Anolis sagrei: one gene and its partner. The protein of the gene in region 2 purifies or fractionates together with the protein of the main gene of each other region. This does not show direct contact. Links are inferred from orthologs where the notes say so. Each region holds a gene or a part of one and is shown on either strand. Other genes may lie near its edges. The genes, in order: MGA and E2F6.

Region 1 (12,153 bases), about 160 Mb from region 2:
AAATTGTCAACTGGAGAAATATCCATGACCAGGATATACTTCAAATTGGATTCCAGACCTCTTACCCAGTATCGACAATACGGAAACATTCGTCTTCCCTGTTTAGTCAGCACCATTTCAGTGTTACGATGGTAAAACTCATTCCACATATTGCTGTTGTCCAAGGTAACGGTAACGTTTCCTGAGGTGCACTCAGCTGGAAGGTATTTCTTTGCTTTAGACACTGGTTGTGCTGCACTACTGGGAAGATCACAGTCATCTTGATTTGAAACCGAATTTCCCTGGTCAGATTTTCCTGTACTTTGTTTTACAAGGACATAAAGAGCAGGTGCAGCACCTGGAACTGTTCCACCATTCTGGTTTCCTAATCTGATTGATTGCTTCCCAGTTTTGGGAAGTGATGAAATTTCTACAAAATTCTCCATATTCACAGTGCGAATTGATTTTCTTTCATGTTGGTCATACTGAGAAGAAAAAACCAAAACCAGTATGTAACGAACATTTATACAGTGTAAGAAAACATGGTACGTTTAAAAGGATCTCACCAGCATATGCAACAAACAATACACTGCTATCATCAGTTTAGTCACATTCCATAATCATTTACATATTTATTTATTAATTTTTAAAATAGCCTTCTTTACTGGCAACATAGGAAACAAAGCGGCTAAAATCTACCTGTATTATTAGAATATTATAAAATATAGTAACAAATTTTAGAGCATTATAAACTTTTTTATAAGAAAATGACAACAGAAGTACAGCACACAATCATGACTAAAATACTCTTCTGCATAACCACCTAAAGCTACAAGAATGTCTTCCACGGCAAATGGAAGGAAAGCAGAAGGGACTAGCCTTGCTTTTTGTGGAAGAAGCTGAGAACAGCATCAAATAAGCCTATGACAATCAGACCAAGAAAAAGTCATTCCTCAAAAGATCTCAGGCAGGCTTATATAGGGAGATATAATCTTACTGTCCCAGTAAGCAGGTGCAACATTTGGGACTTGCAGTATTTTCCCAACATTAATAATAATCATTTACTAAATTTTTCAGAATTGAAAATAAGGTATGAAGGGCAGGAGCTGGCTATATTTGCACAGTTGGAAGTGATTTTCTTTTCCACACTCTAACAGTTAAGAGTATGGAAAAGAAAGTCACTTCCAACTCTGCAAATATAGCCAGATCCTGCCCTTCAAACCTTATTTTCAATTCTGAAAAATTTAGTAAATGATTCTTTGACATTACAAAAAATTAAGTTTAAAACCAAGCATCTAATCAAAAGTAACCATGGAGACAAAAATCATTTGCAAGTTAATGTTCATTTTTTAAATGTTTTGGTAATTTTTATAAAATGCAGAAGTTGTAACATTGACAAGACATAGTTTTAAAAGCTACCACAGAAGTGTAGTTGCAACATTAATTTGTAAACAAGTAAACATCATGCAACTACATTAGGGAAAAATCAATCAACACAAACTCTGACAGAATTCGCCTCCATTTAAGTTTCTTTATAAAATAAACTATTGAAATGATATGTTGGACACTAAGTTCTCAAACAAAATTTTCCTCTAGTATCAGCAAAACTGTGAACTCACAACATAGTAAGCCTACCTCAATAGGGTGCCATAATGCATTATCATATGGAAAGATAAATGCATGGAGATACTCTGACTAGAAACACAATTAATCCTGTTATCCTGGGTTATTTTATCACCTTCAGCCACAAAGGAAGAGGGGAATCTTCCCACCATGCCTTGAACCTGCCAAACATTGACATTAACTAATGTTAACCAACCACTAAATATATGAGTGCTTGAATGAATCCAGCAGCATTTTTTTAAAACAAGGAACAGAAATATTGAAGCCTGAATCCAAATCCTCATTAAGGTATGATAAACGTCGATTTTCTAATTTTTCTCTCTTAAAAACAATGTAACAGTTTTAAGAATGATTACATTTTTGAGATAGCAGCACAATGTTTACATCATCTGGCTTTGAAAATGTAGTTAGAATAGAGTACATTGTATAATAATATGCAACAGTGTATCTTAAATTAAAATGTTATCCTACCATGGCACTGCAATGTTTTAGATAAGCAGCACCACTGAATTCTATTGGTATTGTTTTACTACTATAAAAATTAAAAGACTCGTGCACTAAAGTCTACACACAACGAAATGCACTTTACTTTGAATGCTAAAAACAGTAATCTACAGAACCTTTCCAAAATGACTATTTTTCCTTCATATGTAATTCAAACCTCAGATACTAAAATGGAGGAAATATTTGCTCCTATTTCTATATACATCAGCATAGGAAAAAAGTACACCCCTAATTTGAAATCCAAAGTCTTCCAAAGTGCATAACTGCCCACATAGGTGGCTGAGATAATGACACCTTTGCTTTCTGTTAGCTTGATGTACACAATTTTTGCTTCAGGCCCAGAATTATTAAACATATTTTATAAAGTTGCCTTCAAGTCATGTATATAAAGTGTAAATAAACCATAAATTAATTTAATATTTAGACTTAAGTCACATCTCCATGTACATATATGCAAATACCAGCAGTCAAATATATTAAAAATATCTGAAATTCAAAAAATCTTCTGGTATTATTATTATTGTTATTATTATTTCTATCTCTAAAGACAGACCCAAAGTGGCTAACACTAAAAACAATACCCTAAATAATTTAAAACCTTAAAAACATGCAAACAAAACCTTAAAAAATACACACATTAAAATTTGATTAAACACTGTGTATTACAAATGAAGTTACAACCAATAAAATAATTAAAAACCTATTCACATATAGAAACCACTTCACAGCACATCCCTGGCTCAGCCCAAAAAACTAAAATATCACAAATGTGCATGCCTTCCTTGTGCAGAAACCATGAGAATGTTCTCTGTATCATTCCAATTTTAATATAGGTGGTGCCAAAGCAAGCGCCCATATGCAGAGCACATGCATTTTGGATAAGGCATACTCAACCACCGTCTCCCAAAGCAGTTGCTCTACTCCGAAATCAAGAATGGAAAACAGAATGTTGGTGGAAAGGAAAAGAGATTTAAAGATGGGCTCAAAGCCAACCTTAAAAACTCTGGCATAGACTTTGAGAACTGGGAAGCCCTGGCCCTTGAGCGCTTCAGCTGGAGGTCAGCTTTGACCAGCAGTGCTGCAGAATTTGAAGAGGCACGAATGGAGGGTGAAAGAGAGAAACGTGCCAAGAGGAAGGCGCGTCAAGCCAACCCCAACCGAGACTGCCTTCCACCTGGAAATCAATGCCTTCACTGCAGGAGAAGATGCAGATCAAGAAGAGGACGCCACAGCCACCTAAGGAACCAACAAGAATACTGCCCCGGAAGACTATTCTACTCGGCCAACGAGGGATTGCCTAAGTAAGTGAGCACTCAACATGTATAATTCTGACGCTGATTTTAGCTGTTTTATGCTTTTATTGTATCACAATCTAACTTGTTGCAGTACCATTTTGAAAAACCTGCACATACACTTCTTGTTGTGTGTCTTCAAATAATTTCAAGTCCTTAGATAATGAAATTTCCCCAAGGACATCCAGTGGGTTTCCATAGCTGAGTGAGGATTTGGATCCTGGTTTCCAGAGCCATAGCCCAATGTTCAAACCGTTACAGGACACTGCCTCTCACTCAACATACAGATCATCAGTGGTTTCCAACCTTTGGCCCTTTGGATGTTTTGGACTTTAGATCCCACAATTCCTAATAGGCTGAGATTTCTGGAAGCCCAAACTGTTTGGGATTTCTGGGAGTTGAAGTCCAAAACACAGGAAAGACCAAAGGTTGGGAACCACTGAGATAGATCAATGAATAAAAAAGGTAAAAGTTTCCCCTTGACATCTGTCCGACTCTGGTGGTGGTGCTCATCTCAATTTCTAAGTCGAAGAGCTGGCGTTGTCCATAGACCCCTCTAAGATTATGTGAACGGCATGACTGCATGGAGCACCGTTACCTTCCCGTTTGGGGTGGTCCCTATCAATCTACTCACATTTGCATGTTTTCGAACTGCTAAGTTGGCGGAAGCTGGGCCTAACAGCAGGAGCTCACCCCGCTCCCTGGATTTGAATACTAGTAAGAATATATTATATTGAAATATTAGGATTTTGCTTGATGTTAGTGCTGATCAACAAATATTGTTAACATTTGTTTAAAGTACTTAATAGAAAGAAAGCACATCTGATGAATCCTAAGACTTAACTTTTCACACTTAAGACAAGGTTACAAACAAGTGGTCCCGCAACATGCTTGAAGATGGAGATTCTGAAACAATCCACCAATATTCAGCCAATCAGTGCTTGTGACCTTCTGACCAGGAGTGGTTCCACGCTGCAGAATTAATGCAGTTTTGACACCCATTTAATTGCCTTGACTGAATGCTACAGAATCCTATAAGGCCAGCACAGGCAAACTTTGGCCCTCTGGGTGTTTTGGACTTCAACATCACTATCGGCTGTTAGGAATTGTGGGAGGGACTTGGTGTCCAAACACTCCGAGGGCTGAAGTTTGCCCATGCCTGCTCTAGATCTCCAAGTGTTTTGGAATTCCAAGTCCCTGAAGCCTCAACTGTCTTGGCCAACAATATGGGATTCTGGGACCTGAAGCACAAAACACTTGGAAAAGCGATGTGGTCACAGCCCTGGAAGTCCTAATACAGCATTTCTCAACTTGGGTGTCAGGACCCCGGGGGGGGGGGGGGTTCGAGGGGGTGTCAGAGACCATCAGAAAACACAGTATTTTGTTGGTCATGAGGATTCTGTGTGGGAAGTTTGGCCCAATTCTATCGCTGGTAGGGTTCAGAACACTCTTTGATTGTAGGTGAACTATAAATCCCAACAACTACAACTCCCAAATGTCAAGGTCTATTTTCCCCAAACTAAACCAGTGTTCGCATTTGAGCATATTGAGTATTGGTCCAGATCTATCATTGCTTAAGTCCACAGTGCTCTCTGGATGTAGGTGAATTACAATTCCAGAACTTAAGGTCAATGCCTATCAAACCCTTCCAGTATTTTCTGTTGGTCATGGGAGTTCTGTGTGCCAAGATTGGTTCAATTCTTTCATTGGTGTGGTTCAGAATGCTCTTTGATTGCAGGTTAACTATAAACCCCAGCAACTACCACTCCCAGATGACAAAATTAATCTCCCCAAACCCACCAAATTTGGGCATATAGGGTATTTGTGCCAAAATTGGTCCAGTGAATGAAAATGCATCCTGAATATCAGATATTTACATCACGATTCATAACAGTAGCAAAATCATAGTTATGAAGTAGCAATGAAAATAATGTTATGGTTGGGGGTCACCACAACGTGAGGACCTGAATTATGGGGTTGCGACATTTAGAAGGCTGAGAACCACTGCCTTAAAGCGCCTCCACCCTCGTTTTCTTTTGATTATGTATTTCTTTCCACTGTTCTAGTGGGAAGGAAGCCTTCCGTCCCAAGGAACAACACTTGCTGGCCTCCCTCCCTTCCCCCGCCAGAAGCAGAGCTGCGTGGGGTGATTAGCCGGCGGACTTCAGCCACCAACAGGCCGAGGGAAGGCCTGAGCAAAAGCGCCCGGCGCCCCATAACAAGCCCCGCTCCCCTGGCCCCTCGGAGGCCAACAAGCTTCGAATGGGGAGCGCCCCGCGTGGCGAGATGCGCCTCCATGGCACGCGAGGAAACGACGCGATCACGCCTCCCCCCCCCCCCCAAGGGCCTCCGACAAGGCCCTCGCCCGCGGGTGTCCATTTTTGCCAGCCTCCTCCATAGGCAGGAGATGTGTGCGAGCCACGCGGGAAAATTGCGCGCGAGAGAACCTTTTCCTCCTCCATCCTCCACTCCCGGATTCGCGGCCCCACGCCAGACAGACCTTGTTCGGAGTCTTCCTCGGCGCTTCCCGCCATCCGGGGCCTGTCTCCGTCCCAGTCAGTCCGTCAATCAGTCACCGAGCGAAGCCATGGGCGCGCTCCCCCCCCCCTCCCCTCCTCTCTCCCTTCCCTGTCTTGTTGTGCTCTAGAATCAAATCGTGGAGAGGACAGCGTGCGCACGCACCCACCCATGTGACGTCGCCGGCGCGCGCCTCCCATGCCGCCTGCGCAGAGCCGGCCCCGCGCGCCGCCGCCGCCGCCGCCTCCTCGCCTGCGGGCTGTCACGTGCCCCGGCGCCTCCTTCCTTTCTCTGCTGCTCGGCCACATCCCCCTGCACCCACCTACTCTGCGCATGCGCTTTTCTCCCCCCCCCTCTCTCTCTCCTCTCTCTCAATCTCGCTTTCCTTTCCGCGCATGTTCTGTTCGCTTTTCCTCCTAAAGCTGTAGGCTACGTCGCGGAAGGTTCTGGAATGTTTGGGAGGGGGAGGGGGCGGGGAGTGGCAGTTATTTCCGCTGCTCGCGCGGTAGAGGGCCGCTCCTAACGCCGCCCCCTCCCCTCTTGTGGCCTGAATGGAAAGGGAGCGAGGCGGAGAGGCGCGTGCCCGCTTCTCCCGGAGGCCTCGCCTTGTGCCGCCTGCCTGCCTCGCTCTCGCGGAGCCATTGCGGGGGAGCCGTTGCGTTTCTTCGCGGTGCCTCCAGCCTTCTCTTCAGGCAAGACTGGCGCTTGGGCGTTTTGTCAAGCGCGAAGGCAGTCTCCATTCCCTCGCTTTTCGGCCTTTCTCCTCAGCGTGGCTCCTTCACGCGCGTTCGCGCGCCCCGATGAGAAGGGCTGAGAGAGAGGCAAATAGGACAATGTGTTGTCGAAGGCTTTCATGGCTGTGTGGCCATGTTCCAGAAGCATTCTCTCTCGACGTTTCGCCCACAACTATGCCAGGCATCCTCCAAGTCTGTTGGAAACTAGGCCAGTGAGGTTTATGTATCTGTAAAGGGAATTCCAGACAAGAATCAGTCAGGACAGCTAACACTCCAAACAAAGGATCGCTGCTGAAGAGCCTCCAGAGAAGGAAACTCCCATCATACTTTTTTTTTTTTGGTCGTGTCAGGAGCGACTGGAGAAACTGCAAGTCGCTTCTGGTGTGAGAGAATTGGCCGTCTGCAAGGACATTGCCCAGGGGACGCCTGGATGATTTTATGTTTTTATCATCCTTATGGGAGGCTTCTCTCATGTCCCCGCTCATCCACTTCTCCTCGAATTCGAACCTACAACCTGTCGGTCTTCAGTCCTGCCGGCACACGGGTTTAACCCACTCTGCCACCAGGGGCACCACCCCATCGTACTGCCAGGCAGCCTATGCCACTCTTATTTATTTATTTATTTCATATACTTGTACCCCGCCCTTCTCACCCCCGAGGGGGGACTCAGGGCGGCCTCACAGCAAACACCATTCGGTGCCATCATGATGATAAGAATAATCAACACATTCATTAAAACAAAACATTAAATATTAAATAAAACACGCCAATTAAAACCCAGGTCAATTCATTGTCACTTCAAAATTGCTGATGTCTTCATACAACCCGCTGTTCAATGGTCAAATGCAAGGTCCCACAGCCAAGTCTTGAGTTTTCTTCTAAAGGACAGGAGGGAGGTGGCCAGTCTGATGTCTTTGGGGAGGGAATTCCACAGACAGGGCCTTCTCAACACTTGCTCCCTGTCTGTGACAGGGAGCCACAGTTGAGAAGGCCCTGTCTCTCGTCTCCACCAATCAGGAATTTCTTCCTAATGTTTTCAGTCAAATCTTTTCCCCTGCCTTTTGAAACCATTGCTCCCCTATGCCCTGGTCTCCAGAGCAGCAGAAAGTCAGTTCCCCACTCCCCACCTCAATGGGGCAACCTTTTAAATCTTGAAACATGGTTTTCATGTTCCCTATCCACCTTCTCTTCTCCCAGCTAAACAAAGGACCTCCCCAGACAGCAATCAGCTATGCTTTGAAGCTGCAAGGCCATAATAATAGTTTATTTCTACCCTGCCATCATCTCCCAGAGGGACTCGGGATGGCTCACAGAACACTCAAGGTGTGGCATGCAAAATACAAGTGCAAAACGAAACATAAGACAATAAACAGTCAACACATCATAAATATACAGTATCCCCTAGTAAAAACAATAAAATACAGCAATTGCTATAGATGAGTGGTTCCCAACCTTTTTTTGACCAGGGACCACTTGACTATTGACTATGACCAGGAGCCACTCTCCAACATTAGTACCAAAAGGGTTACAAATCAGTTTTTGATCAACTTAGATTTGGTTTGGTGTGCTGATTCAGAAAATTGTATTGGCTAGACCACATCAGCTCTAGTTCTGATACAGAACATATGCCATGGTCAGAAGCAGGGAGTGGCAGACAGCGCGAAAGAGCGGAAATAAAATAAAGAGGAAGGAGGCTCGCGGACTAGATTTTCATCCTCATGGCCCACTGGTGGGCTGCAACCCACAGGTTAAGAAGCACTGCTGTAGGTAAAGTGGCATATTCAATCTCCGAATTCTAAAGTTCTAATAAAAAAATCTAAAGGTCCTCGTATGTATTATTAAAGAGATTAAACATGGTTTAATAATAAAATAATAATGATAAACTTTATTTATACCCCGCCACCATCTCCCCAATGGGGACTCAGAGCGGCTTACATGGGGCCAAGCCCAGACAACATATTACAGCAAAATAAAACCAAAACATAAACAACAAGCAACATCATCAAAATTACATAAAAAGAAAAAAATGAATACAGTAACAAAATAACATTCCAATAAACACAATCACGATAACAGTGGGCGGGCCACATGTACAGGATAAAAGGGCGAAAGGGATAAAGGAAGGCACATCAAGCCAATTGTTGTCAGGACCACTTTCCATCTGGAAATCTATGTTCTCGCTGCAATTGAACATGCAAATCAGGAATAGGTCTATACAGTCACCTACAGATCCACCATCGAGACCCTACACTTGGAAGGCAATCATACTCAACCACAAATGATAGTCTATGATTTTATTTATTTTTGTGTTAGAAGCAAATTGAGAATACAGTTATAATGTATCAAAGACTACAAAGTTAAAAACTTGGAATTATGCTAAATTTCCTTTGACCAGAAGCTGGCCACTTGTAATGCCTTTGATGTTACTGTAAGAAGGTCCTCCATTGTGCATGTGGCAGGGCTCAGACTGCATTTTAGTAGGTGGTCAGTGGTTTGTTCTTTTCCACACTTGCATGTCGTGGTCTATGATGATGATATCAAAGCATTCAAATTCAACATCCATTACTATAATAACCTGCAGAGCTACAGTTATAAACAATACTGGGCAGCACACATTTTGGCACCTCAAATGTTAGTCCTATTTCTGGGTATATTTAACCTTCTGATTCCAGAAATGGCACCAGTTTCCCCTATACTGTCTGTATTTCAGGTTTTTGAGCTGCAATATATGCCATCTACCAGTTGCCATGATAACCATATTGAAGAAATTAGAGCTGATGTGGCTATCCAATGCAATTTTCTGAAACAGTGCCCCAGTTTTTAGGAACAGGCCTAAAAATCGAGGTACCAAGAATTATTATTCTTTGTTGTGTTATAAGTGTTTTTATGTGGAGAAATGTGTGCCTGAGGTGATTGCTCTCTATTCATCTCATTCCAAGGAATAATGGGAACAGCCCATATCTTGCCTTTGTTTAACCTCTTCCACAAACTTTATCAAGATCAGGCAGTGATAATGTTTCATAACTGCTTTACAACTGAATAAACTACCACAAAAGCCAAGAGCATGTGTGCAGTTATGAACCTCATGTTTTAATATTTGTTTCAGTGAAAAAGGAAGAGGTATAAGGCTTGAAAAGGAACATCTTGACCATTCATTTACAAAGGAAGGTGCCATCTCTTAGTTCTGTAACATCACATTGGTTGCTCTTTTTTGGGTTTTTTTTTTTTTGCAGATATTTGCAGCAAAGGCCTGTAATGAAGAGCTTTCCACCCAAAAAAAGGAATAGAAAGAAAGATAAAGGTGCTCTTAACAGTAATACTGGATCTAGAACATGAGGTGTTTTGAAAGGACCACTATCTTGAATTTAGCCATCCTCAAATGGGAAAGATCTTACATGCATTAATAATACTAATCATCATCATCATCATCATCATCCCATCAGGTGCCACTGTGTCATTTGCGGGGGGCTTATTGATGAGACATGAATGATTTGTCATATTGTCATATTGATGTTTAATTGTTGTTATGCTATTGTTTTTAAATGCTCCAATGGTTTTGTAATGTGTGTATTGAAATTGTTGTTGTTAACTGCTTTGAGTCGCCTAAGGGCTGAGAAAAGCGGTATATAAATGAAGCGAATGAATGAATGAATAAATAAATAAACTGCTTCTATGATGTTGAGAGCTGTGCTGGTGGTAGTGTAAACTACCAGCAGGTTCAACCAAGCCAGAGTGGTCTCATCTGAGAAGTAGAACTAAGTGCACCCAACCCATTTAAATATGGTGAAACAAACTAATGAAGTCTATACTGACTTGGTTGTCATTCAGGATAATAAGGACTGCCGCGAGTGCATTTCCTGGGCACCCGTCGACAAGTGGGCTACAGGAACCAGGACCCGCTGCTGAGCAACCAGATCATGGGCCTGTAGGGCAACTGGAAGCAAAACAACTACAGAAGTGTTAGAAATTTGGATAAAAGACTTTGAAAATAAATTTTCGGAGAACAAAATGAGAACCTTGGAAATAACAACAGAAATGATCACTGAAAGAGTGAAGAAAGTTAAGAACTGGACATCACCTGGCAATGATAAATGGCACAGATTTTGGCTTAAATATCTGGTTAGCATGCACTCAAAAATGGGCAAAAAATTCAATGAGATGCTACAAACAGGAAACGTCAGCAAATGGATAACAACTGGGAAGACATATTTGATACAGAAAGATCCAGCAAAAGGGATAATACCAGGAAACTACAGGCCAATAACATGTCTGCCTACAATGTTCAAACTGCTGACAGGAATAATAGCTGATCAAATCCAGGATTACTTGGAGGAAAATAACATCTTGCCAGTAGAACAAAAAGGCAATAAAAGAAGAAGTAGGGGCACGGAAGATCAGCTTCTGATTGACAAAATGATACTGGAGAATTGCAAAAGCCACAAAACAAACCTCTATACAACTTGGATTGATTACAAAAAAGCATTTGACTCACTGCCACATTGTTGGATTATCAAATGTCTAGATGTCATCAGGGTTTGTGAAAATATTAGAAAGTTCACTGAAAATGCAAGAAACAATGGAAAACGGAGTTGTTCGTGGGCAATGAAAGCTATGGTACTGTTAACATCAAGAGAGGAATTTTCCAGGGCGACTCACTGTGACCACTGCTGTTTGTCATTGCAATGATCCCTCTGTCAGTAATTCTACAAAAAACAAACCTGGGCTACCAAACAGCAAGAAATTCACCAAAAATTTCCCACTTGCGGTACATGAATTATTTAAAGCTTTACAGATAATCAGAAACAGAAATCCAGTCACTGACTGTAAAACATGACGAACAAATCACACACACACACACACACACACACACACACATATATATATAACCAGGGTAATGAGGAGACTAAAGTAGTGATGGTGCGTATAGCTGAGACTTGACTTTTAAAAATGTTTTTATTTGAGGCCCTTTTTAAAAAGGAGTAACTCATTACCCCATCCAGAATCCTTTCTTCCAATATCTTCAGCCGCCTTCTTCTGAGGTAAATCTTCTTCTCAATAAATGGACATGAGTTTTAATTATAAAAAACTGATCAAGGAAATATTTATTTAGGGATTCACAGATGTACAACATTTGATGGTTATTCTGTATTCCTTTAAATGTTGTTACAGTTGACTTTAGTTAAACAGTTTCCAATATAACTCTCAGTATGGCTTTTACTTCCATCAGACTGGTTTTAAACTTATTCACTGCAAAGTATCTTTCTTTTCTTAACTGACAATTCAAGGCACCGGCTTGCCTTTTTTCCCCTTCAGCTATCCCCACTGAAGTTATGGATTTCTACTGGAGTTCCTTTCCCCCTTAGCTCATGAGTTAATTACTAATTTAAGCAGGTCCAATTGACTCTGAAAACACACAGGCTGAAGAAACTGAACCCCTGGGTTCGGTTTCTCCACACACTAGAACACAGCTTCCACTTTTGTCCACCGACTAAAAGAAACTGACT
Region 2 (11,826 bases):
TCACTACCTCTGAGGATGCTTGCCATAGATGCAGGCGAAATGTTAAGAGAGAATGCCTCTAGACCATGGCCATACAGCCCGAAAAACCCTACAACAACCCAATAACAATAATATCTTGTCTACTGTCTTGTGTAGACTTTCCATACAAAGCAGATGAGACATTGTGCGGCCCTCCTTTCCTAGCCTCAGGTCATGCACAAAAGGCATACATGAAAACATTCTAATGCCTGGTAGCAGTGTTGTCATTATGATGAGCAACAGCTATGACCATTGGCAGTCATCCCATAGACACTGGGAGTATACCTATCACGGTAATCAGGCTCTCTACTTTTCAGAGTAGTGTTGTCCCCTTTCCCATACCTCTCCCCAATTTCAGGGTGATTGTGTAGAGACTACTGCAGCTGTTGCACAAGCATGGCAACATTTTCTCTTTATCTCTCAGAATGATTTAGCTATCACTTGGTTAAAAACTGGAGACAACCGCTTTCTTTCAAATATTTACCATACTTTGACAGAGACAGGACTTTTCTTTAGGTAGATTTAAATAGAGTTATCATATTTTCACAAACAAAATATTCACTTGTCACCTGACTACACTTGGCCTTTCACATTCACTAATATGATTATTTGTGGGTTTGTTACCCCTCCTCATGAGGCCCAAGGCCACCATGGGCACTTCCAAGCAGTCATATAATCCCAGAATATCAAGGCAAAAAATCCCACAATATCTGCTTTGAACTGAATTATCTGTGTCTGCACTGCCATATATTCCAGTTCAAAGCAGATAATGTGGGATTTTATTCAACTGTGTGGAGGGGGCCCATGTTGACATTTCCGCTGCAGCCTTGGACTTCTGGAAGGGGAACAGCAGCAATTACCAGCAATTACTGTGTAAATGTGCATGCACCAGCCTCAGGCTTCAGGATGGCATAGGAACAACAATGCCCTTCGCCAATCATGTCAGAACTATGCCGCTGCAAGGATTTTGAAAGCAGGCCATTCCTGAGGCTTTACCAATCCCTTGGCTTTGCAAGAGGTGAGGCAGCAGCAAATCCCCTGCTTGCCAGCTCCACAAGCAATCCGTGCCCTGCCCTGGGGTTAGTTTTTCCACTTTCTCGGGTTTCCTATGCTCCGAACCCTTGTGAACATGGAGAACTGACTATTCTTCAAACAACTGACGGTTGATAACTCTCACTTTAAATGCCCCTACTGTGTAAGCATCCGGATGTCCCCTGCAAGGACGTTGCAGGGGACGTCCGGATGTTTGCTGTTTTACCACCCCTGTGGGAGGCTTCTCTCATGTCCCCGCATGGGGAGCTGGAGCTGACAGAGGGAGCTCAACCCGCTCCCTCCAGATTTAAACCGCTGACCTGTTGGTCAGCACAAGGGTTTAAGCCATTGTGCTGACCGGGGGTATGTAAGTGGTGATCATTGGTACTATAATTATTCCCAACCTGCACTGCATTTAAATAGTAACAACTTTGATCTTCCTTTCACCCCTCCCTGCATTTGCCCAAAGTTGCCTCCATTCCATTTTCCCCACAAAGCCAGAGACTCCCACAGCTGTCTCACTCAGGCTGTATAAAATCCAGATTATCTGCTTTGAATTGGATTATCTGGCAGTGTAGACTCAGATAATTCAGCTCAGATCAGATAATGTGGAATATCTGCCTTTATATTCTTGATTATATGGCAGTGTAGAAGGGCCCTCAGGTAGCTCACTTTCCCTGTCCAAATCTGATTCTCTTCTCCCCACAACCCTGAGTCACTTTCTCTGGCAAAGGGAGGTCCTTTGTTCTTCTTAATATTTAGGTGATAAGCCTAATCCAAAATGTATTTGAGTAATATTTTAATTGCAAATGTAATATAATTTAGAGAGAGAATGTAGTCTCTAAATAGAGTTTTGGAACAATCAAGATAGATTTTGGGGTTTTGAGTGGAGAGCACACTTACTTCTAACTCTCACAAAAGTTGCACCTTCATCTAATTGTTGATTGCTGACAGATATAAACTGTAGATCATCTTCATTTTCAGTTTTAAATCCTGCCTGTGAAGATAAAAAGAATAATTAGAACAGTGTTTCTGGAAATTCATCTATTGCTCACGTAGGGCCCTTCTGCACAGCCATATAACCTAGAATATGAAGGCAAAAACACCCTACAATACATTGCCATATATTCCAGTTCAAAGCAGATAATGTGGGATTTTATTCAGCTGTGTGGAAGGGGCTGTAGTTTGTAAGCTGTAGCCACACAGCTGACCTATGATAACTTGGGGACCTTTTCACTCTGCAGTTATGGCCTCATGATTCCGTTTTAATGACCATGGCTACATCCTATAAAATCCCAGGGTTTGTAGTGCTGGTGGTTGGGGGAGGGGGCAGTTGAGGAGCCCCCCAAATTGGAAATTCTAGGTGTTCCTTCTAAACCGTTGCTTTCAGAAGTCTATAGGAAAATGCTGCCAGTTAAAGTGGAAGCATAGTGCTACAATTGTGAAGCGACCGGGGTGTGGCGCAGCTAGTTAGTAGCCAGCTGCATGAAATCACTACTGACCGAGAGATTATAAGTTCGAAGCCAGCCCAGGTTGGGGTGAGCTCCTGACCATTAATAGTCTATCTTGCTGTTGACCTATGTAGCCCGAAAGACAGTTACATCTGTCAAGTAGGAAATTTAGGAACCACTTTATGCGGGGAGGCTAATTTAACTAATTTATGACACCATAAAAAAAACAACCTTCCAGCAGTGTGTGGAAGAATGAGGAAGCACTCCATCAAGGACTCAGTGTCACAAGTGGATGGTAAAGTGGAAGCTCCCGCTGTGGCCAAAATCGAGCATACCCTCATGAAGCTGGAAAGCTGGAATGTTAAATTGCCTCTGTGTCTATCTATATATGTTGAATGTCTAATAGCATTGAATGTTTGCCATGTATATGTGAATTGTAATCCACCCTGAGTCCCCTATGGGGTGAGAAGGGTAGAATATAAATACTGTAAATAAATAAATAAGCAAATAAGTGTGAAAGCATCTGTGGACCCTTCTAGGCAGTCATATAAACCAGAATATCAAGGCAGAAAATCACTGCTTTGAACTGGGTTATCTGAGTCCACACTGCCATATATTCTAGTTCAAAGTAGATAATGTGGGATTTTATTCAGATGTGTGGAAGGGGCCCATGTGTCCAAAATGCTCATCCTGTAACAAATGTGACATAATCATGCTATTACACTATGTAACATAATTTTTGTTCCTGGGTTATAAATGTCACTTTCAAAGTGGGTTGTATCATTAAAAACATTGAAAAAGTTTGTTAAACTACAAAAACAAAAACATCTTTGCGGGACATCCTGCTATAGTTTTTCAATGGATATCTCAAGTCTCACCCAATTCAACATAATTTATGGCAGCCACAAAAAACAAAGTTTCTGGAGTAGAACAACTATTTTCAAACTAAGTTCTGCACAATTAAACTGGGAATAACACTTTCCAACCTGGAAAATATATTTTTCAAGTTTTGCTACATAGTGTTATTTATATCTCCACTTTTGAATGAGACTCAACGCTGATACAGGGGATATTGGTACAAAGGCTTTATGGATAATCTGTAACAATGTTTGCTCTTGAAATAATTCCTCCAACAAAAGAGATAGGAACGCTGGCAGGAAAAGTGGACAAAAAGGTCCTCCACAAAGGTAGTAAAAAGCGAGGAGATCTAGCTTCTTGTATATAAATACATAGCTATAGACCTTTCGTGTTCTAGCTTTCTAAACATACATGACAGAAAAGCAGAACACAAATAATGAAGAAACTAAGGGCCCTTCCACACAGCCATATATCTCAGAATATCAAGAAAGAACATCCCACAATATCTGCTTTGAAGTGGGTTATCTGAGGCCACACTGCCATATATTCCAGCAGAGGCTGGATGGCCATCTGTCTGGGCTGCTTTGAATGCAATTTTCCTGCTTCTTGGCGGGGGGTTGGGCTGGATGGCCCACAAGGCCTCTTCCAACTCTATATGGTAGCGAGGACTGAGACAACCCAGTTCAAAGCAGATATTGTGGATTACCTGCCTTGATATTCTGGGGGCCCTTCCATTCAGCAATATCCCAGAATACTTGTAAGGTAGGTAAACAAACACAATATAGTCAATGCAATAGGAGAACTGTAATGACCATACAGTGTTCCTTCACTTACTGTGGGTGTTACGTTCCAGGACCTCCCGCAATAAGTGAAAAACTGTGATGTAGGGACTTGCTATTTATCTTAATATTTATACATTATTTTAGGAGTTATATGCTATTTTAAGTCTTTATACACTTAAAAAAAGTGAAGGAAAGGAAGGAAAGGCCCTTCAAGGCTGGAGGGAGGACTGAGGAGGGAAAGCGCCTTGGAGAGCAGCAGCAACAAAAACCCACAAAACAGCAAAAAAACAAACAAACAAACAAACACCCTGCGATATATATTTTAAATTAATATTTTTTGAAAACTGCAAAACAGCGAGCCTGCTGAAACCGAACCGTGAAGTAGTGAGGGAACACTGTATAGGATATAGTGACAGTGAATTGGGGGTTTTGGTGTCACTATATGCTATACTGCATAGACTATATTGTGTTTGTTTACGGCCCTTCCACACAGCCATATCAAAGCAGAAGATCCCACAATACCTGCTTTGAACTGGGTTATCTGAGGGCCCTTCCACACAGCCCTATATCCCTGAATATCAAGGCAGATAACCCACAATATCTGCTTTGAATTGAGTTATTTGAGTCCATATAATCCAGTTCAAGGAGCCCCTGGTGGCACAGTGGGCTAAAGCGCTGAGCTGATGAGCTTGTTGACTGAAAGGTCACAGATTTGAATCCCAGGAACAGCGTGAGCTTCCGCTGTCAGCCCCAGCTTCTGCCAAACTAGCAGATCAAAAACATGCAAATGTGAGTAGATCAATAAATATCGCTCCGGTGGGAAGGTAATGGTGCTCCATGCAGTCATGCCTATGGCCACATGACCTTGGAGGTGTCTATGGACAATGCTGGCTCTTTGGCTCAGAAATGGAGATGAGCACCACACTTGAGAGATGGACACGACTGGATGTCATGTCAGGGAAAAAGCTTTACCTTTTCCTAACCCAGTTCAAAGCAAATACTGTGGGGTTGTATACAGCTGTGTGGAAGGGGCCTGAGTCCACGCTGCCATATATCCCAGTTCAAAGCAGATAATGTGGGATTGTCTACAGCTGTGTGGAAAGCCCCTTAGGCCCATCTACACTGTGGAATTGAGGCAGTCTGGCCCTGCTTTATGGCTCAAGGCCCTGGGAGTTGCAGATGGGTGTGCTCTTTCCCCCTTTCCCCTCCAAGCCAGAAAAGGGAAGAGTGCCTCCAAGTGCAGTCATGCTGGCCACATGACCTTGGAGGTGTCTACGCACAATGCCAGGGTGGAGTGAGCACCCAAAAGGAAAGAGCCCGGCCTCGTCCTGGTTGTTTTCAGGCTAGGTCCAGAGAAAGAGATTTCCCCTCCTCCTTTCCTCTTTGTGGCTTTTCTCCCACCCAGGAAAAATTCCCAGACCCTGCCAAAGGAGAGGCGCTTCTAAGCAACCCAGCCAAGAGGGAAGACTCACTTCCTGCCAGTCCAGCGACTCCTCCAAGCTCTCGGGCGAGACCGGGGCCGCCATCCTGGCCCAGCCTCTTCCTCCTCCTCTTCCTTTTCCTCCTCTGATGGGAGGAGGAGCCGCGGGTGACGAGGCAGAGGCAGCCAGCAGGGCCCGCCTCCAGTGGCTTCCCCATCCCCGCCAGCTCTCCATGTTGGACAGAGACTGAGAATCCTCCATAGGGACTACCAAACGCAGCGTTGCCCCAACCTGAATCAAGGAACAGACTAAGCCAACCAGAGAAGTCAGCCATAGCAGAGCACCTAATCAGCCAACCTGGGCACAGCATATTATTTGAGAACACAGAAGTGCTGGACCAGCCTCAACCAGCATGTCAGGATACACAGAGATGCTATTGAAATCCACAAGCATGGGATCAATTTCAACACAAAGGAGAAAACCATGAAAATGAACAAAATCTGGCTACCAGTATTTAAAAAAACTCTAAAATCAGGACAGTCAATAAAGAGCAACACTCAGGGGAATTCCTGACATGAAACAATCAAGGCCAGCTAACACCTCCCAACAAAGGATTCCCCAGGCAGGAATCAGCCAGTCTTTGCAGCTGCAGTGCTAATCAAGGTGGCCATTTGCAACATTCACATCTATATAAATATAAATGTAATGTCCGTTTGTGGGATTAACATAATTCAAAACCCACTGGACGAATTGACACCAAATTTGGACACAACACGTATCAGGCCAAAGAGTGACCATCACTAAAAAAATATGATTTTGTCATTTGGGAGTTGTAGTTGTTGGGATTTATAGTTCACCTAAATTAAAGCATTCTGAACCCCACCAATGATAGAATTGAACCAAACTTCCCACACAGAACCCCCATGACCAACAAAAAATACATAAGGCCATCCAGTCCAACTCCCTTCACCATGGCAAGAAAATGTAATCAAAACCCTCCTGACAAAGAGCCACCCAACCATAGATATAGATACATATGATTGACACACACAGAGATATAGTATCCTAGATTTGAAAAAAAAGGACAATGATATGTTGCCTGTTTCTGTGTAGGCAAACCTGACAATCTCTACATCAACACTGACAAAGAAACAGCAAGAAATACTGTTTACCCACAAGCAGCAATAAATTATATATATTACAATCCAACACTTTCTCATTACTTCATTTTCCAGATCACCAGACTGGGCCACAGCAACGCCTGGCAGGGGAAGACTAATTCAATTATAAAAGTAAATAAAGAACAAATCTCAAACACAGGGAAACTCTAGTCAGGAAACAATCAGAGACAGCTAATCACCTCTCAACAAAGGATTCCCCCAGGCAGTAACAAGTCACACTTAAAAACTTTCAGGCCATCAAATGCTAATGGTCCTTTGAAACATTCATAGCTAGCTCCAACAGACAAGAGTTCTTTCTCCCACCCTGGATTTTCTACTGATAAGTTGTTAATTTGTTCAGTTGCTTCCTACTGAATGAATGGACCAGCTCACAGCAGAGCTCTCAGCTCCTTCAATGTCAATCCAGTCACTTCAAGGATGCCATCCATCCATCTTGCCCTTGGTCGGCCCCTCTTCCTTTTCCCTTCCATTTTTCCCAGCAACATTCTCTTCTCCAAGCTTTCCTTTCTTCTCATGATGTGTCCAAAATACTGCATCTTGGCCTCTACTATCCTTCCCTCCAGTGAGCGGTCGGGCTTTATTTCCTGAAGTATGGATTGGTTGCATCTTCTGGCAGTCCAAGGCACTCTCAAACTTTCCTCCAGCACCACAGTCCAAAAGCATCTCTCTTCCTTTGCTCAGCCTTTCCTATGGTCCAGCTCTCACATCCATACAGGGAATACCATTGCTTTTACTATGCTTTTACTATTCCATTGATATATAAACCCAATATTCCTAGTTTCTAACAGACCTCACAACAAGCTTGGGCATCTTTAGTGTTTGCCTTTTTTGGTATGGGGATATAAATTGATTTTTTCCAATCTGATGTCAATTCTTGTGCTTTCCATATTTGCTGGCATATGGCATACGTGCATCACCTTGACAGCATCCTCTTTCAAGATTTTAAACAGTTCAGCTGGGATCTCGTCATCTCCTGCTGCCTTGTTATTAGCAATGCTTCTTAAGACCCATTCAACCTCACCTCTCAGGATGTTTGGTTCTATTTCACTCACCACACCGTCAAAGTTATCCTCAATACTATTATCCTTTTTATACAGATCTGCCACCTTCTCTTGATCTCTTCAGCTTCTGTTCGGTCCTTGCCTATAGAATACTGGAGTGTTCTTGGGCCCCACTAAATGCAAAGACTGAATTTTATGGAATTGTCTCATGTCAGTTAAAGTGGAATAATAGCACTATAACTATAGTGTGTAAGGAGCCCCCAGTGGTGCAGTGGGTTAAACCCTTGTGCCAGCAGGATTGAAGACCAACAGGTCACAGATTCGAATCTGGGGATAGCATGGATGAGCTCCCTCTTTCAGCTCCAGCTCCCCATGTGGGGACATGAGAGAAGTCTCCCACAAGGATGGTAGAACATCAAAAACATCAAAAACTGCACAACGTCTTTGCAGACAGCCAATTATCTCACACCAGAAGCAACTTGCAGTTTCTCAAGTTGCTCCTGACAAGAAAAAAAATTATAAGTCTAACGTAGATGATCATCAGTGGCTTTCAGTTAGTTCAAGTTGTTTCTTCCTTATTGTCCACCAGAGGGCAGCAATGTTATTTCCTAAGATTGTCATAACACTAGGTAACAAAATTTTTGTTCCTATGTTATAAATGTCGTTTCCTAATTGGTTCATTCATAAAACATGGAAAAAGTTTATTAAACTGAAATTTTTGTCCCTGTAGGACTTCCTGCATCACATTTGCTCTAGTTTTTCAATGCTTATCGCATCAAATCTCAACCAATTCAATATAGGGTTGCTGTGAGTTTTCCAGGCTGTATAGCCATGTTCCAGAAGCATTCTCTTCTGACATTTCACCCACATCTATGGCAGGCGTCCTCAGAAGTTGTGAGGTCTGTTGGAAACTAGGCAAGTGAGGTTTAGGGTGGGAGAAAGAACGCTTGTCTGCTTGAGGCAAGTGTGAATGTTGCAACTGGCCACCTTGATTAGCATTGGGTGGCCTTGCAGCTTCAAAGACTGACTGATTCCTGCCTGGGAAATCCTTTGTTGGGAGATGTTAGCTGGCTTTGATTATTTCATGTCAGGAATTCCTCTGAGTGTTGCTCTTTATTGACTGTTCTGATTTTCAAGTTTTTTTAAATACTGGTAGCCAGATTTTGTTCATGTTCATGGCTTCCTCCATTCTATTGAAATGCTTGTGGATTTCAATGGTTTCTCTTTCTAGTCTGACATGGTGGTTGCTAGAGTGGTCCAGCATTTCTGTGTTCTCAAATAATATGCTGTGTCAACAGGGGAACAACAGGAAAATTCCTGACATGAAATAATCAGGGCCAGCTAACACCTCCCAACTGGGCTTAAGTGGCTGAGAAGGGAATGAAAGGGCCTGAGGCTGTTAGGAATGGTGCGAGTTGAAGTCCAAAACACCCGGAGGGCCAAAGTTTGCCCATGCCTGGTCTACACTGTCCATATAATGCAGTTCCAAATTGCATTATATGCCAATGTAGATGGGGCCTCTGAAGTAGTTTTGCTTGTATTTTCACTCCATTTCTGATGTCAAATTGCTAAAATTAAATTACTAATACAAAATAGCTAGTATTATTATTTATCATTATTGTTCATCACGGACACATTGATTTAATGTGAGCCATGATGTGTTAAAGCAACGCTCCATCTCCTCGTTGTTAATTTCCTGTCAGACATATTGCACGGCAGAGATTTTGTTGAATGATGGCTAACATGACATGTAAACGCATGAATGACACACAATTTATCTTGTGATTTATGGCAATATTTCTGGCAATCATCTGTGAACTGAAACATACACAAAAGACTTCAGGGCTGGTTGCTCACCATCAATAATGTAAAAAAAAAGATTTATGCTTGAGCTGCTAAACAAGGAGGATTGCTTTATCATTTGGCCATGCAAGATGTGGAAAGCATGATAAATTAATTTACAAATGTATCTGTCCCATCTTTGGAACTGAAAAATGACAGACATTCAAAGCATAGCACAATTATGAATTTCAGTTGACAATGAAGAAGTTCCTGATGGCCATGAAACCATGCTTTAGAAAGTTTCTATTGATCCTCCATTGTGCATGTGGCAGGGCTCAGACTGCATTGTAGTAAGTGGTCTGTGGTTTGCTCTTCTCTCCACTTGCATGTTGTGGACTCCACTTTATAGCCCCATTTCTTAAGGTTGGCTCTGCATCTCGTGGTGCCAGAGCACAGCCTGTTCAGTGCCTTCAAAGTTGCCCCTGGGCTGAGAACAGCGGTATATAAGTAAAGTAAATAAATAAATAATAAATAAAGTTGTCCAGTCTTCAGTGTGCCCAGGAGGGAGTCTCTTATCCAATCTTAGCCACTTATTGAGGTTCTGGGTTTTAGCCTGCCACTTTTGGACTCTTGCTTGCCGAGATGTTCTTCCTACTATCTCTGTAGAGCTTAGAAAGCTATTTCACGAGTTAAGGTGTTGGCATGGTTGATATCCGAACAGAGGATGGGCTGGAGATGGCAATGTCTTATTTCTTTCATTACAGTCTGGTACTTATCAATGGTTGTCAGGTGATGAAATACCGGCTAAACAGTATAATTTCTCCAGTGGTGTAGGATGTAGACATCCTGTGATAATGCGGCATGTCTCATTAAGAGCCACATCCACTGTTTTAACGTGGTGCGATGTATTCCACACTGGGCATGCGTATTCAGCAGCAGAGTAGCAAAGTGCAAGGACAGATGTCTTCATTGTGTCACTGTCCAGAGTAAAGTTAGCTAAGGTATTGCTTTTAAACTATTCAATTTTTTCTTTTGAAGTGGTAGCTAAGAATTGTACTCTTCTATGCATGGTTTGCATATTCCTTCAGTGTGACTACAGATCAGCTTAATGTATTTCTACACAAAATCTAAAATCCAAATTTCGCCTCAAAGCTTCAGAGCTTCAAACTAAGTTTAAAAATAGAAATTATATTGTAAGTGGTTACATTAAAAAAACCATCTTGAATAGGTTTTATGGATTTCTAACCATCATATTCAAAATTTCAGAAATATCCCCCCCCCCCTTCTTATTTCAGGTTTCTTGACATTCTGGCTTTACATTAAATGCACTGGCAACAGCTGTACCTTCAGACAGAGATACAGATGTGGGAAAATAAATGACAATTCTTCAATTACATCGGATTTTCAAACACACACCCCAACCCCATTTCCTAGCATTTCAGTTTGAAACAACTGCTGAGTATACATCTTGTTGGGTTGCTGTGAGTTTTCCAGGCTGCATGGCCATGTTCCAGAAGCATTCTCTCCTGACGTTTTGTCCACATCTATAGCAGGCATCCTCAGAGGTTGTGAGGTCTGTTGGAAACAGGGCAAGTGAGGTTTATATATCTGTGGAATAATGTCCTGGGTGGGAGAAAGAACTCTTGACTGCTTGAGGCAAGTGTGAATGTGGCAATTGGCCAGCTTGATTAGCATTGAATTGCCTCGCAGCTTCAAAGTCTGTCCACTTCCTGCCTGGGGGAAAACAATCAGAGCCAGTTAACACCTCCCAACAAAGAATTCTCCCAGGCAGCAACCAGCCAGGCTTTGAAGCTCAAAGTGCATTCAATGCTAATCATGCTCATACGGGGACATGAGAGACGCCTCCCACAAGGATGATAAAAACATCAAATCATCCAGGTGTCTCCTGGGCAACGTCCTTGCAGACAGCCAATTCTCTCACACCAGAAGCGACTTGCAGTTTCTCAAGTCGCTCCTGACACGACAAGAAAAAAGCTGGCCAATTGCAATATCCACACTAGGATGCCTGCCATGTGGTCAAAATATCAGGAGTGAATGCTTCTGGAACATGGCCATACAGCCTGGAAAACTCACAGCAACCCAGTGATTCTGGCCATGAAAGCCTTTGACAACACATATATCTTGTTATTACTGTGTCCAAGTTAACTTAAGTCTCACAATGACCCTATTCTGGATTTACAAGATTTGTTGAGAGACTGTTTCCCACTGACTTCCTCTAAGAGAGTATGGTTTGGCCAAGGTCATTAATGGCAAAACTGGATTTGAACCCTGATCTTCTG

What was found.
Region 1: the proteins of E2F6 (region 2) and MGA purify together in Homo sapiens (affinity purification with mass spectrometry; 3 studies listed by BioGRID and IntAct, counting the BioPlex papers as one, with this or other methods). This does not show direct contact. The link is inferred for Anolis sagrei from reciprocal best matches to the Homo sapiens genes E2F6 and MGA.

The regions. Positions count from the first base shown.
Region 1 is NC_090021.1:288,157,382-288,169,534, forward strand, and holds the start of MGA (MAX gene-associated protein), read right to left. Parts: upstream 6,121-12,153; 5' UTR 5,899-6,120; intron 2,959-5,898; exon of another isoform or gene 2,854-2,958; intron 1,709-2,853; exon of another isoform or gene 1,615-1,708; intron 465-1,614; 5' UTR 426-464; coding exon 1-425. UniProt on the Homo sapiens protein: Functions as a dual-specificity transcription factor, regulating the expression of both MAX-network and T-box family target genes. Functions as a repressor or an activator.
Region 2 is NC_090021.1:130,944,871-130,956,696, forward strand, and holds the start of E2F6 (transcription factor E2F6), read right to left. Parts: upstream 5,812-11,826; 5' UTR 5,797-5,811; coding exon 5,614-5,796; intron 2,048-5,613; coding exon 1,954-2,047; intron 1-1,953. UniProt on the Homo sapiens protein: Inhibitor of E2F-dependent transcription. Binds DNA cooperatively with DP proteins through the E2 recognition site, 5'-TTTC[CG]CGC-3'. Has a preference for the 5'-TTTCCCGC-3' E2F recognition site.